Linked DNA regions of Astyanax mexicanus. The protein of the gene in region 1 interacts with the protein of each later gene in a pairwise test. Links are inferred from orthologs where the notes say so. Each region holds a gene or a part of one and is shown on either strand. Other genes may lie near its edges.

Region 1 (7,998 bases):
CTCAGCCCGGAGGAACCCAGGCCCGAGCCGGATCGGGAGTGGGCAGGGTAGAAGAGCGAGGCGCGGTGGGCGGCGGCTCTAGAGGACGAGGTGGAATGTGAGTGGGCGTGGTAGGGGTGTGACGGGGAGGAGGGGGAGGGGCCAGGCGATGTTCCGGACCCGGAGTTCTGTGGGAGTTCGGGGGGCGACGCCAAGCCGACATCGATGGCGACGAGCTCTTTACTTTCCAGCTCCTGTAAAATAAATAAATTAAATAATTAATTAATACATTTAATTTAACATTTTAATTTTACATGATTTGCGCAGAAAATACTGCATTTGCAATTTTCAAAAAAGTTTAGAATTAATGTTTTTAACACGCTATAAAACATTACGGTGAAAAACTAATGTACAATATTTAGTTACAAAACATAAGCAGAAAATATTAAATAAAACAATATTATTTAAAAGAATGACACACGACAACATGATGAAGAGTGATGATAAAAAATAATCAATTAAAATAAATAATGATGGCTATCTGCAAATAATATTGATGACATTCAAAATCTAAATCTGCAGTTTCGCCTGTCACAATAACTTTTATATATCCATATTTTTATTTTAAGACCATTTTAGTGGCCTTAAACATTTAATTATTAAGAATATTTAGACTTTTCAGACTACTTAGAATTGAAATGATGCTCACGAAGCAGAAAAAAGTGACACAATAACTGTGAATAATATATGATAAACATCATTAATATCATTTATATAATTGCCAATTGATTTATGTTAAAATTAATATTCATCAAACTGTTGTTGCTCAAATATGTTAAATACTGAAATCATCTTTAATACATTTAAAATCTTTTTTTCTGAGTATGTTCTGAGCATCAGTATTCTGGGAAATATTTAATTTTACTATATTAAACAGCATATAAACTAAACAGACTCACTAGTTATAAATATGAACAGATGTAACAGAAGCAGTTTTAGTGGTATGGAGTGGAGAACGAACACACTGACATCAAACTGCTGATAATGCATTACATCATTTTGGTCCAGATCCTCTGGCTCGTTCCCATTGGTCCCTCCGATCCCTGGAAAAAAGACAAACAAAACGAAAAAAACGTGATAAACTTATATAAATATATTTTTGCCTTTGCTGATAATTTATGGTGTAACAGATAACCGACAATCAGTGATCTGTCCAAATCTCCCTCCTGCCCCGCCCCTAAACCCATACATCACTCAGTCACCCAGTGACTTCATCGCAACGTCACTTTGTTTTAAGATCGTGTAGCCCTAATAAACACCACAGACAGGATGCACCTGGATATCTGAGGAGGAACAGGTGAGACAGGTGGAGTTTACCTGGCCCCGGGGAGCTGTTTGTGACGACGTAGCTCCCGTCTCCATCCACATCCTCCAGGTTAGTGATCAGGTTCGGCACCAGAGCCATCACTTCTCTCTGCACCTGCAGGAAACGGGGAAAAGAGAGTATTAAGAAATAGGCTTTAAAGAAACTTTAACATTTATTTTATTTATCTACAGTGTCTCATGTATAATATGTATAAAATGCTGTAAAATAACAGTGCCTTCAGACTTTTGGAGAACAAACCAACACCTGTTATCCTTTTTAATTCAGATAGAATTTAGAGAATTTAAGCTAATCTTTATTTATTTTATTAGTTTTAAAGTAATACATGTGTAATATCAGATATCTGCTCAGAATTCCCACAAATCAATTAATCAATAAATCAATTAACCTTTATTTAGTCTCAGATTTAAATTGAAACTAAACTGAAACGGAGAATCACCTCATTTTAAATGTAGCTGAATATTTAATATTGAATGAAGAAAAACTAAAAATTAAAATAAAGTTTATGCGAGCGCTGCACTTATGGTGGTCAGTGTGTATCTGTGTTATAAATCAGGTCAAACTTTTGGAACTGGTCCGAGACCAAAAAGCAAAAAAAGCAAATTAAAGCTCTATCTGGACGGGATGATTTTCTCAGTGTAGCATCTGTGTTAAATATTTCACACTTCTACTCTTTAGTGATTAAAACTCCTGCATCCGGGCTGCAATTGAATAAAAAGGAGGACCAGTGAGTTTTTAGGCTTTAGTTTTTCTCGGTCACATGACATCATCACGGCGTTCAGTAGCTCCTCCATTTCCACTCGCTGTTGTGTTTTTCTTACGTGGATCTCCATGGAAACTATTGCGCGTCCAAAATGTAATTACGGTGCGCGGCAGTGGACAAATATCTATTTTATTAAAAGTGAGGAAACGAAACTCAGAGATGTGCGTCCGGACAGGACTAAAATTACCGGAGGAGCACGGAGTTCAGAGAAAAACAGTAGATAATTCAGCCTGTAATTTTCTCAGAGGACGTCCGAGAAAAACACGTACACTGTAAACCCGTACGTTTGTTTGAACTCAAATGATTTAAGTCTGTTTTACATAAAATTGGATTTTTCTAAACAATACTCAACTATTTTGAGTTACTGTACTATTCAAACTGAGGACTTTGAGTTGAACCAACTTATAATAACTGAGTTTAGTCTGTTTTGCCATCAACAGTTTCTTTTCTATTGGCTTCTTTCACACTCTATTTGCATACTGGGCGTGTCCAACAGTTTCTGACAGACACTCACCATCAGTGTGTAGTGATTCCCCCCCTGGGCTACCTTACAAATAAATCAACTTCCCCTTTAGTTGTAAGACCTTAATGTTTTAATTTATAATAACTCAAAAAAATTGAGAAAATCAGCTGCCTTAAAAAAAAGTTAGGTAAACTCAACTTATCTGGTTCTTACATATATGCTAAATGAAGTTTTTATTACCCATTACTTAACTTTTTAAGTCTCAATTTTTTTAAGTAAATTTAACTTATCCGGGCTTACAGTGTACATGGTTGTTCTGGACAGGAATAAAATCACAGAGGATAAAAACTATCCCAAAACCCCCTGAGAAACTAATTCCATCCAGATAGGGCTTTAGAGATGTATTTAATAAGACGGTAGTGACTGTACCTGTGTGAGGGCGGTGAGCGGCATCCCCGACGCCTGCTGCTCCTGCCGCCTCTGCAGCGCCACCCGGCACTCCACCTTCAGCCTCTTCCACAGGGTTTTGAGGGAGCCCACGCTGCTGGGCGGCCGGTTGGGGAAAGCCTCGTTGAAGGCCTGGGCGAGTTCGGCCCACACAGCGTTCCGGTACACAGTGGTGTTGGTGTCTTTACGGAAGTCCTGCACGGCGTCCACCACGCTGTGGATCTTCTGCAGCAGGTAGAGCTTCTGCTCCAGAGTGAAGTTGGGCATCCTGTACGTCATGGTGGTGAGCATCTTCATTTGCGATGTGTGTGAATATGAGAGTGTGTGTGTGTGTGTGTGTGTGTGAGGAATGCTGTTGGTATAAAGTCAGGAAGGATCACACACAGAGGAATAAGGCTGCTGGTCAGTCGACTCGTTCATGGAGTTCTAACCTGGTATACAGAAGCGTCCATTTACGTCCAAAAGTACAAAATGTTCTATATGCTATAAACGCTACATAACAGAAGTTATGGGGTTATGTATTCATCACAGGTCTGTTGTGAATTTGGTCCCTTCGATAAGCGTTAAGTCACATTTGATGCGACATACTTAAAAAAGAAAAAGAAAAAAAACTACAAAATATATAAACTATATTTTAAGAAAATAACAAAAATATAAGTTTAAGACTCTGTGTGTGTAAGGCTGCTCGGTCAACAACGGCAACATCCACACGGTGGGCCTGCTGTCCGTCGACGCATCCGGGATCTGAGGGGAAAAATAAAGATAAAAATAAATACTTATTAAATATCTTTTGACATAATAAGTAAGTTGTAAGTTTTCTTTATTTTTTTAATTATTATTTTTTTTACCACTGAACAAATTAAATAACCTTAATGAATTTCGCTATCTAAAAACTACAATTAACAATATTTATTGAACAAAAAAAAAAAGAAAATCATAAAATGGGATAAATATTCATTATTCCCCATTTTTGTAAAAGTGAAATAAAAAACTAGAACCCTGGAAAATAACTTTTTTTTTTTCTTCACTAAACCAAATGGAAAAAACACGTGAAGCATATATAGCAGATACATGGTTCATGTAGTCAGTCTCTCTGTAAGTTATAAATGTGTAATATCACTATCTGTTTATATGTGCGTTTTATCAGATACCGGTAGATATGCATATTTTACTGGCTATCAGTAGATATATACATTTTATCGTTTATCGGTAGATAATACACATTTTATCAGATATTGGTATATATATATATATATATATATATATATATATATATATATATATATATATATATATATATATATTTTTTTTTTTTTTTTTTTTTATAGAGATTTTATTGGATATAAAAGTAGACACACATTTTATTGGTTATCAGTAGATATACACATTTTATAGTATGTCGGTAGATATATAAATTTTATCGGATAGCAGTAGATATATACATTTTATCGATTTTGTCATATACTGGTAGATAATACGCATTTTATCAGATATCGGTAGATATGTTACATATTTTATCGGGTTAAACTGTCAAATTCTGTAATAATTGTGAGTATTAGTGGGTAATAACTGAGCGCTGTTAGGAGGAATTCTGCTGCTGTAAGTGATCAGCTCTCTGTTTCTCTACTGTTTTATTAATTTACTGCGGGTTTTTTTCTGTTACTGTGTTAAACTGTGTTTATTTAAAGGTAAAAATACAAAAAACAAGCCTTATATTAGAAGATGCTCCCAGCAGAAGTGTATGTAGGATCGTTAAATAGCTTAAATCACTGTATCACAGTAAAATGAAGGTATAGATAAGATAATACTTTATGAGTCCCACAGTGGCGGAAATTCACAGTATTATATGATATACACATTTTATCGGTTTATCGTGTATTGGTAGATATACACATGTTATCGGTTATCGGCATCGGCTCAGACTTCCTGAATCAGTGCATCCCTACAGAACAGGAGTAAGTTGCAGCAGGAGAGCAGGAGAAAAGCGGGAGTTTGAACAGGATATAACAGTGTTACAGTGAGTAAATCTGCAGTGTATAATGTGTATATTCTGAGGTAAACGCTGAGAGAGTGTTTACAGCTGAAGCCCTCAGCCCGAGACTAGGTTTAATCCCTCTGTCTGCCCGCTGTCTCCCTCCCACACATTGATCTCAGCTCAGATTTATATTAATATCATTATTACACTGTAATAAATATGATATTACACATTAATGCGCTGATTCTGATGCAGTTTCGGGGTTTTAGCGCCTCTAAAAGCCTCAAAACCGCAACTTTAGCCCGTCTGTTTAGCCCGCTTAGCCTGTTAGCCGTTAGCCGCGCTGCTAAACCGCTGCACCGTATTAGCGGGTTAGAGACTAGGATTAGGGCTAACGCTAAGGCTAACATTTCCCCGCGCGCCCAAACACACCGAAAACACCCCACGAGCCCCGCGCTGCAGCCCGCGCGCCCCGGTACACTCACCTGCACGCGGAACGATTGAACTCCGCTATAAATGATACTTTGTTGCTCCCACCCCTTTATGTTTGAGCGGCCCGCACCAAATTCAAACAACAGAGAGCTGCTCTGCGCAGCGGCCGCAATCTGCGTAACCGGGGGAGCGGGGCAGCGGCGCGGTGCGCATGCGCTGCGCAAATCCCCGGATCTACAGATCATACCCGCCTGGGATTCACTAACACTGCGCGGAGCAGATGATCTATAGATCTGCGTCTGAGTGCCGCCGAGACTCCGCTCATAATAATAAACAGCCGGAGAGATATTCCTTTATTCTTATTACTACGCTGTAACACGCTGCTCTCACACCATATATATACACCCGGCAGATAAAACGAATAATAATCTGGATATATTCTTCCTTTTATTCGTTTTTTTAACATTCGTTATTGAATGTAATGTAAAAAAGAACATAATAACCAGAAGTTTAAAGAGAATAGTTTTTTTTTTTATTGAAAGTAACAAATTATGTCCAAAAAATCATTAACATTCCCATTGGATAAACTATAAAAACTTAATTTCTTCAAAAAAGTCAGATACCACATTACAAAATTGCAATTACTAAACCCTTAGAATTGTTCATTTGTATGTTTAATAACCCCCCCCCCCCAAAAAAAAAAAATCTAAAAAGCAATGATGGAATATTTAAGCAAACATATGAAGGAAAGAATGGACGCATTGTGTGTCTATAGATAGACATTTTTCCTTTCTTTCTTTTGTTGTTTATAACTAATTATATGTGTTTTAGAGGCAAGTGTTTTAGAATACATTTTACATTGTATTTCTATATTACATCAATTGAACACATTATATTACACAATCCAATAAAAAAATAAAAACAATGCATTCCCATAGAACTGCAATAAAATAAATATATAAACTAATTGGAGTGCAAAGAAAAATAGAAATAGATTTTAAAACATTTTAAATATTTATTGTGAAATTTGCACATTGACCAAATTGCTGATATTTAAGAATTAAAATTGTATGTGTTAATAGCAGCTAAGAAATATATTTAAAAATGTTTTTATTTAATTATGAAATTGCATATTTAACACAATTGCTGATATTTAAGTATAATATAAATGTTCATAGCAGCTGAAAAATATATTTACACTTTTTATATATTTGAATATTTTATTGTGATTAAAATATATAATATATTTTTGGGTTATGTGATGTAGGTGATATCTTAATTTAAATTTTGCATTTTAAATATTTGTTTACTACGCCACCGCCATAAACATAACCTAAAAGAGAGAAAAGTCTCCAATAACTGATAATTATATATTATACAAAAAAGTATTAGCATGATAAATAACCTACATAATACAAGATAAGAATACATTTCTAAAAAGTTTAGACAAAATATGATTATATGTGTTCTCCAGTCGTGTTAATTTTGAAATTGTGTAATTTGTTAATTTACTTTAAAGAAATGTAACGTAAAAGAAATACTGTAGAAATATAATGTTTAAAAGTCCTCCAGTAGGAGCGCTTTGATCTACAAAGGGGGCGGGACGCTTCAGTATGCTGGGCTGTGATTGGTCAGAGCTTTCGGTTGTGCGGAAGTTACCCGGATAAACACACATGTCTGCCCGCAGTGAGACACGCTGGTGCTGAATATAAAGAGAATTGAGTTAAATTCTGTAATAATTCGGATTATTTAGTTTATATATTTGTGTGTATGGAGTTGTGAGTATTAATAGGTAACAACAGAGCGCTTTTAGGAGGAATTCTGCTGCTGTAAGTGATCAGCTCTCTGTTTCTCTACTGTTTTACTGATTAACTGAGTGGTTTCTGTGTTAAACTGTGTTACTCTGGTGATTATTTAAAGATAAAAACACAATAAACAAGCACTATATTAGAACATGCTCCCTGCAGTAGCGTAGGTAGGATATTTAAATAGCTTACAAATCTGTATCACAGTAAAACTAATGTAATGCAATGTATTTTATCTACCTTAACAGTACAATATATACAATATAATATAAATAATAATAAGTAAAGAAATCTTAAGACTGCATTTACAAACAACTGCACATTGCCTCTTGGTTGCACAGAGTAATGGAACAATATTGTACATTATGTTACACATAGAGGTGATTGGAAACAGTCTTTTATGCTATATTATAGTTTAATAATTTTAATAAAAACACTGAAGCAAATAATGAAAAAAGCTCAGGTTGTTTGATGCACCCAAAAAAAGCCAAATTATCATTAAAAACAGAAAAAACATAAAATGATTAAATAATAAAACATGAAATAATTGGCAGATAAATTGTTAGATTTTTAAAAGTATTTAATTTGTAATTTTTGCAAAAGATTTACACCTAAAATGGGACTTATGTTTCTTCACTCAACGTTTATGAATGAATAATTTCTCTAAAAGTACCAACAACTAACTTTATTGCAAGCAGTTAAATATGCAGAATGTTGATTAGTCAGCATTACCGCAAAGCCTGAGGATTG
Region 2 (7,786 bases), on another chromosome or scaffold:
TTTTCTTGCTTAAGACTAAGCTTTTGATAATGTGTATTGAATTGTGAATAAAATAAACAGCAGTAGAAACACTTAAAACATATGTATCATTGGTGTCAATCCCTTAAAAGATATTTGTATTTATCATATTGGTACTGAACAGTATTTTTGGGACGGGAACAAAAACAATGCTGTAGTGTGATATTCACCTGGCAGACTAGATCCTTTTTTACTGTATTATACATTCCATACTCAACAGCTTGAAAAGAGGAAACCTGTCATCAGCTGTGTGTGTTTGTGTGTGTGAGAGAGAAATACAGAGAGAGAGAGATGGAGAGAGAAAGAGAATAAACTTCGCCACAAATAAAATATAATCTACCTTATTAACTGAACAGTAAGTGTTGCTGTGTTATATCACTAAATAAAATGCGTCACCAGGCTCTGTCAATTTTGTCACATGACTCATTTAGTTCAAAATATTAACGCGTTAAAGTTTTTTAGATTAATTGCATGCATTAACATGTTAATGTTGACAGCTCTATTATTTTTATTAGATGCCGATCACTGCAAATTACTGCTCAACAAAATATGGCAATGTCAGTTTTTTTTCTCTATTTAAAATTATAACCAGAATACATATTTGAATTATAGCTATGGAGCCCCTAAGGTAAAATCATGTTAAAAAAATAATGCATGGCCATGACTTATTAAGGCGTGGGAATGAGATCCTAATGTGTAGCCACAACTTATTAAGGTGTGGCAATGAGTTAATTAAATCATAGCCATTAAGGCGGGGCCTCCTTTTGTTTTACAGCTAACAAAGCAAGCAGCTCTCAAGGGTTGTGCACAATATAACTGCTTAAGGAAGGTAAATTAATCTGCATACTGTCTACATCTAAGCCCGTCAGCTTTTTGTATGAGAATTAAAAAAGTCCTTTACTTAGAATTATGCCCTGTCTCACTGCAAGAGACTCATAGGCAATAAAGGAGAACTCTGGTGTAAAATTGACTTTGGTTGTAGTAAAACATGATAAAGATTACTAACCTTTACTGAATAGCCCACCACTGCTCTCCCGCAGCTTTCTGAGACCCAGAAATGGCAAAAAGCACTCTTTACAACGGGAGCTTTGGGGCATCCAGATAAAGCACTTTTACACTGTTATCCAGGCTCCACACTAGGGGTGTGCCATATCATATCGTACACGATAATATCGTCAAATCTTTTAAATATCGAGAACGATATTATACCCTACAATTTCGTGCCATATCACCCATCCCATTTCCCATTATATATCTACTAGAGACAGTTTATATCTGTCCAGTATCATTTATTTTACTTTAATCCTGGATATATGGAGATATTTGGAGTGCATTATTATTAGTATCATGACATTCTGGATCATTGACTTCTGCTACAAATCTGATAGAATTCTTGTATTTTTTAATATCTCACTTAGGGGTGTGCAGTATTATATTGTATGTAATAATAAAATATTTTTTTATTTTCTTGCAGTGTATAGTGTATTTTTAAAAATAATATTTTTAAGTGTTTTGTCATATCACCAAGAGTATCGTTATCGCGAAAATATCATGAAATATCGTGATATTATTTTAGGGCCATATCGCCCACCCCTACTCCACACCTCAATAGTAGAATCCACAGAGCTCTGACACTTAAAAGGAGGCATTTATAACTTTAAAAATTAACAAGAAGCTTATTAAAAACACTGTTTCCAACTCTTAGCACAGCCTAATCTCCGGGTGGTTTTAATAAGCTTCTTGTAAAGAGTGCTGGGCAAAAAGCACAAAATACTGGATCTTGGAAAGCTGGGAGAGGGGAGAGCAGATGTGGGCTATTAAACAATGGTCAGTACTCTATCATGTTTTACTACACCACAAGTAAATTTTACACCTTCTCCTTTAATTTACAGAAAAGCAAGCTTATTATTCTCTGGACACAACTTAATTAACTAGTTCCCACGCCTTAATAAGTCTCTTGCTTAATTATCTTATTCTTACGCATAAGGATATCGTTCCCATGCCTTAATAAGTCATGGCCACGCATTATTTTTTTAACATGATGTCAGCTTAGGGGCTCTGCAGTTAGCTAATGGAGTGAAAAGGGAAATATTTTGTGGCTTCCCACATACAGCGCAAGACTGCAAGCCAGAACTCTCATGGGAAAGAGAGAAATGAGGCAGCAGTAGGTTTCATTTTCAGTCTGATCAGACTGCTCAGGCTACTAAGGTTATACTTCCCACTTACGTTGCCTGATGGTTTCAAGTTTAGTAAAGTTAATTAGCTAGTCGATAAAAAGCTGACAAATCTTTCATATTTTTCACCTTTTCGCTGCTGCCTGTCACACGCTCCGGATCAGACAGCTGTTGCCGAGGAGGGCTGGGCTCTTCCCTGCTCTGCTAAGTTAATACACGGCTAGGATAACGATAATAACTTAGTTAGTAAGAGCTAACCTAAAGCTAGCTAACGTTAAACACTGATTTATTTACTCTCTGGTCCCTTTAAAGCGCTTTAAACCAGAACACGCTTAACGTTAACGGTTTAATTAGAGCTCGGTTGTAGTTAAAAAGTTAAAAGTTGTATAATTCAGTCTCTTAACTGGCTTAAATAAGCTAGAACTGGGCTGTTTAGTTCGGTTTAGTTCAGTTTGGACCGGTTGAAACAGTTAACGCTAGTTATCGCTAGGCTAGGTTAGCTAGGCTAGTTAGTTACCACTAGCAACGCTAGTTAACTAGCCCCCTCGCTGGGTTAACTAAGTTACCTGAGGCTGGGTTTCCCCCGTTCTGTCAGTCGGGCTGCTCCTCTCCTGCTGTTACTGAGGTGTTGAAAGCTGAAGCGTCTCCATGTCCGAGCTCCGCGGCCGCAGGTGTCGGTAAACTTCCGGGAAAATGTTGTCTTTATTTTCGGTCCTGCTCCTTCGGGCTCCTTCGGGAGTTCGGGAGTTCAGCTTCGTCGTGGCCGCGGACCAGGCGCGCTCCCGCTCAGCGCTCGCTTCATTGATATGTGAGGTGAGTCGCGCGCGCGTTTACAGCTGTGTACCTAACTAGTCTGAACCAGCAACGTGCACGCGCGTGATGGTGTGGTCTACCTATGTATATATTATATTATAGTTTTTGACCCACGGTCGGTCTGCTAACTCAGCTACTAGCTAACACTAGTGTTACTACACTGTAAGCCCAGATATGTTAAAAAAAAAAAAAAAAAAAAAAAAAAAAAACAATATTAACAATAGTAACGTAATGGGCAATAAACCATTAACTTAACATATATTAAAACATCAAATTATTACTACTGAAAGGAAAGATTATTTAACTTTTTATTTTTTGTTATACCAATAATTTGCCCAACAATTCCACATTTCCATTTTGTGTTCCAATAATTAGTTCTAAAAGTATTAAAATCAATAAAACCACAAGGGTGCCCAAATTTATGCATTTTGTTTAAATAATTATTATTGCACACTTTCTGTAAATCCTATAAACTTAATTTCACTACACAAATATCACTATGCTCATCTGCTATATTATATATTTATATAAAACTGCTGATCCAAACAACCAATGATTTATAAGGAAAATCATAAAAAAAATATCAGGGGTGCCCAAAGTTGTACACACCACTGTAAATCAGAAACAATGGCTATTTCCAGCTTTATATTCATTACACATTCGTATTTCTTTTCTTTTTCTTTTTTATTTTGCATACATAATACAAATATACAATTCACAACAGTTTTAAAGTTTTATTATTGGTTCTTTGTATTTTTACCGCAGAGTTCGAAAGAATGGAACTAGAAAACTTTATAACTAGAAAAGTGTGCAAGGAAAGTTCTAAGGTGTTGCCATCCGGAACAATAGTTCAGGGGTCAGGGGCGATTCTAGGATCAGAGTTTTAGGTAAAGCCAGCCTCCTTTTTACAACAACAAAAAAGCTATAGACTTTCTGTAAGATCCCAGTAGGAGTGAGACCGACCAGTGGCCCAACATCTAGCTTCTCTTACTCCAGTTTAAACAATGGCTGAATGACAGGCTGTAGCATTATTTTAATAAATGAAGGAAAAGCAGTAACTATTGTTTAGCATCTCCAGGAACTCCTTTAAGAAAAAAAAATATTTCAGGTGACTCTACCTCATGAAGACACTGAGATTAAAATACCAAGAGTATGCAGATCTGTTCTCAAAGCTAAATGTGCTATTTAGTAGAATCTAAAGTATAAAATATATTCTGTTTTTTGTTTCTGTATAGGTTTAATGCCTTCAGTAATAAATTTACAATGTACAAGATCATAAAAAAGACATTGAACGAGAAGAGGTGTCTCTAAACTTATGACTGCTACTGTTAATAATACCAACATACAGCTCTAGAAAAAAATAAGAGATCACTTAAACACTTTAATATTACCAAATTGAAAACCTCTGGAATTTAAATCAAGAAGAAGATGGATGCTCACAAGCCATCAAACCAAGCTGAACGGCTTGAATTTTTGCACCAGGAGTGGCATAAAGTTATCCAAAAGCAGTGTGTAAGACTGATGGAGGAGTAAATGCCAAAATGTATGAAACTGTGACTAAAAAGCAGGGTTATTCAACTTGTACTTGTTTTGTTTTTTGCATCTTTTTTTGTTATTTCAGCCATTTCTCATTTCTACTAATAAATCCTGTAAATGACAATATTTTTCTTTGGGATTTGGGAGCAATGTTGTCAGTATTTTATAGAATAAAACAACAGTGTTCATTTTACTCAAATATATACCTATCAGAGAAACTGATTTAGAAACTGATATGGTCTCTTATTTTTTTGTTAGAGCTTTATGTTAATCAGGTCACACTGGATGGTTAGGCCTTCTCAGTTTTTTTCTCGCTTTCTCGTTACAATAAACGGTGAGCCAGAGCGAGGAGTGTCCGTACACTGTGTCCGCGGGGACGCGCACAGGTGCGCGTGCCCGAGCACAGCAGTCAGGGCGCTGCCTCCCTTGAGTCAATAAAAATACACCCCCGCGTTCCTGGAGATAAGCACGACCAGCAGCAACAACAGCAGCAGCATGACCTGCGTTACTCAGCCCAGCGAAACGAGTCCTTCCTTTATGTTGAAACAGCTACCAGCAAGGAATGTGTTTTCCCAGCTTTACTGGCTTATTTGATGGCTTAGGAGACAGTCATCAGCACGAATGTTGAGGGCAAGTATTATAGATAGTTTCTATGTGTTATTTGTTTGTTTGTTTTAGCTAAAAATACGTTTTTGTGTTAAACATATAACATTGTGCAACTGACCAGTTTACGTTTATGTGGTGTTTAGACATGGCTTAATAGCGCCTCTGTAGGTCAGATGTGCTACTGCAGCACTACTAATGCTAAATCAGTGTTTCCTAAACTTTTACATGTCATGCCCCCTCTGGAGGAAGAACCTTATAAAAAAGCTCACACACTAATAATTCATTGGATCACCTTTATGTTTGTATTGTTTTGATAAGCTTCTGCAATGTCACAAGATTTATTTAATCCAGTGTTGCATCAATTTTAACCAAGATCTTGCAGCATTGATGATGGTAGAGTCTGACCGCTGCACAAAACCTTCTCCAGCACATCCCAAAGATTCTCAATGAGGTTAAGGTCTGGACTCTATGGTGAACAATTCATGTGTGAAAATGATGATCTCATGCTCCCTAAACCAATCTTCCACAATTCCGAGCCATGAATCCTGGCATTGTCATCTTGGAATATGTCCGTGTCATCAGGGAAGAAAAAAATACATTGATGGAATAACCTGGTCTATATTCAGTATATTCAGGTAGTCAGCTGACCTCATTCTTTCAGTAGATACTGTTGCTGAACCTAGACCTGACCAACTGCAGAATCAACCCCACATCATTTACTTCCAGGTAGTGATTTTTTTTATCTGCCCACAAAATGACAAGCAATGAAGTGTCAAGTAATGAAGTACAAATACTTTGTTACCTTACTTTTCAGACGGCTTTTTCACGTCTACTCCTTACATTTTAAAAAATAGCCTTGTTACTCCTATTTCATTTCAGCTTGTTTTCATTGAGATAAAACTTTCCATCTAGATAGAGTGTATCTGATTGTGGTTGGATGTAGAGAAGTATAAACATAACCATACTGACCCCCTATTGGTTTGTATACGATCCATCACACCTCCACATCATGTCAGTTCATATTTCAGCAAGAACGTAGCAAATGTATGTAGTCTAGTATGAAGATGATCTGTGGCGGAGACTCAGCTTCTTTAATATATTTGCATTGTATTAAAATATATTCATTTTCAATGAGTACATATGCAGCTGAACCAGGGAGACATCCCAAATTTAACAACATTAACATTTTAGTATAACATTATGGTCATTATGGCTTTTATAAAATGTGTTTTGGGGAGGGGGGGATAGTGCACTATAGGCTCCTGTGGCGCAACCTAAGCTTTTGTCCTTAATGGCTTTTTTTTGGCTTACATTACTTTTACTTTCGTACTTTAAGTAGTTTTAAAAGCAGTACTTTTACACTTTTGCTGGAATAAAATACAGAAGTATTTTTAAACCCTACTGTCTATACTTCTACGTGAGTAATGAAAGTAAATACTTTTGACACCTTTGCTTATCTCCTACAAAAAAATCGAGCTTCAAAACATTAATTCCAAATGACTAATTAATTAATGGTCACAATAATTTTATGTTGTCTCTATATGAATTTTTAACAGCAGTTTTAGCCAGCAGTTGAAAAATATATGCATTCATCATGTTCATTAATGTCATGACAATGTTGGACATTTAGTGATTTCTTTGTTCTGTTCTTTTTCTGGGACAGAATGATTCTACAACTTATAGCGGTAAAAAAACTAAGACATTGCATCAGGTTGTATAATGTATTAGACGTTGTGTCAGATGTATCAAGTGTGTTCCAAGTGGTTGCTAGGTGTTTAGTATGATCAGTATTTAAGTTTTTTTCTGGTTCTTTATAGTTTTAAAAAGCAGAGTTTGAAATAATATAACTACAAAACTATATAACTAGAAAAGTGCACAAGGAAACTTCTAAGTGTTACTGTGTGGTTGTTGTGGTAATAGGTTGGTTGATGTTGCTATTTGTAAATAAATTAAATTTCACTGCTAGTTGTACTGTGCAAGACTATGTAAAAAACGATGTCAAAGTGTACTTTCAGTTTGGATTTACATCACTGTGGACTAAGCGGCTGCTGTCCAAAATGGAAACCTCTGCTCCACAATCAACATCTTGAGACATGTTTAATATTCATGTGAGACAACATATGTCTTGTTTTGTTACTTGGAGTAAAGGTGAGGCATTTAAATGCAGGAGCACTGTTTCAGCTGTTAAGCATGGGGGTGGGTGCATCATGTTCTGGGGCTGCTTTTCTGCCAGTAAAACGGGTACATTGCAAAAACTGGATGGAATAATGATGTAGGTGGACTTCCTGCAAAAGAATTAGCCAGAAATTAAAAATGCGTACAAAATTGGATGTTCAGTACAGTGACCCCAAACACATATCAGAAGTGATTGTGGAATTGCTAAAGCAAATTCAGTTAAATTTAGCTAAATATGAGGCCAACGCTTAAAGGGTGGGTTTTTGCCTATAAAACAACTAATGTAATTGAATTTAGTTGTTTAATACCAATAATGAGTTGACTTTAGAAAATCCCACAAACATATGTATATAAGTCTTTTTTTAATGAATGTTGCTATGCAGTATTGCCAGAGCATGATAATTATACATAAACCCCCATCCACAACTGTATGTAGGCCAATGAGGCCAATGGGGCTGTGTAAG

Evidence for each region.
Region 2: the proteins of wdr6 (region 1) and ptpn3 interact in binary tests that used the Homo sapiens proteins (3 or more experiments, as listed by UniProt). The two-hybrid records come from large-scale screens. The link is inferred for Astyanax mexicanus from reciprocal best matches to the Homo sapiens genes WDR6 and PTPN3.

Annotation. Positions count from the first base shown.
Region 1 is NC_064419.1:49,950,286-49,958,283, forward strand, and holds the start of wdr6 (WD repeat-containing protein 6), read left to right. Parts: upstream 1-4,980; 5' UTR 4,981-5,052; coding exon 5,053-5,053; intron 5,054-5,496; exon of another isoform or gene 5,497-5,629; intron 5,630-7,098; exon of another isoform or gene 7,099-7,272; intron 7,273-7,998. Other genes in the region: fibrinogen silencer-binding protein, read right to left, coding at 1-233, 1,009-1,082, 1,357-1,459, 3,019-3,333. UniProt on the Homo sapiens protein: Together with methyltransferase FTSJ1, methylates the 2'-O-ribose of nucleotides at position 34 of the tRNA anticodon loop of substrate tRNAs. Required for the correct positioning of the substrate tRNA for methylation.
Region 2 is NC_064408.1:109,502,404-109,510,189, reverse strand, and holds the start of ptpn3 (tyrosine-protein phosphatase non-receptor type 3), read right to left. Parts: upstream 3,007-7,786; 5' UTR 2,759-3,006; intron 1-2,758.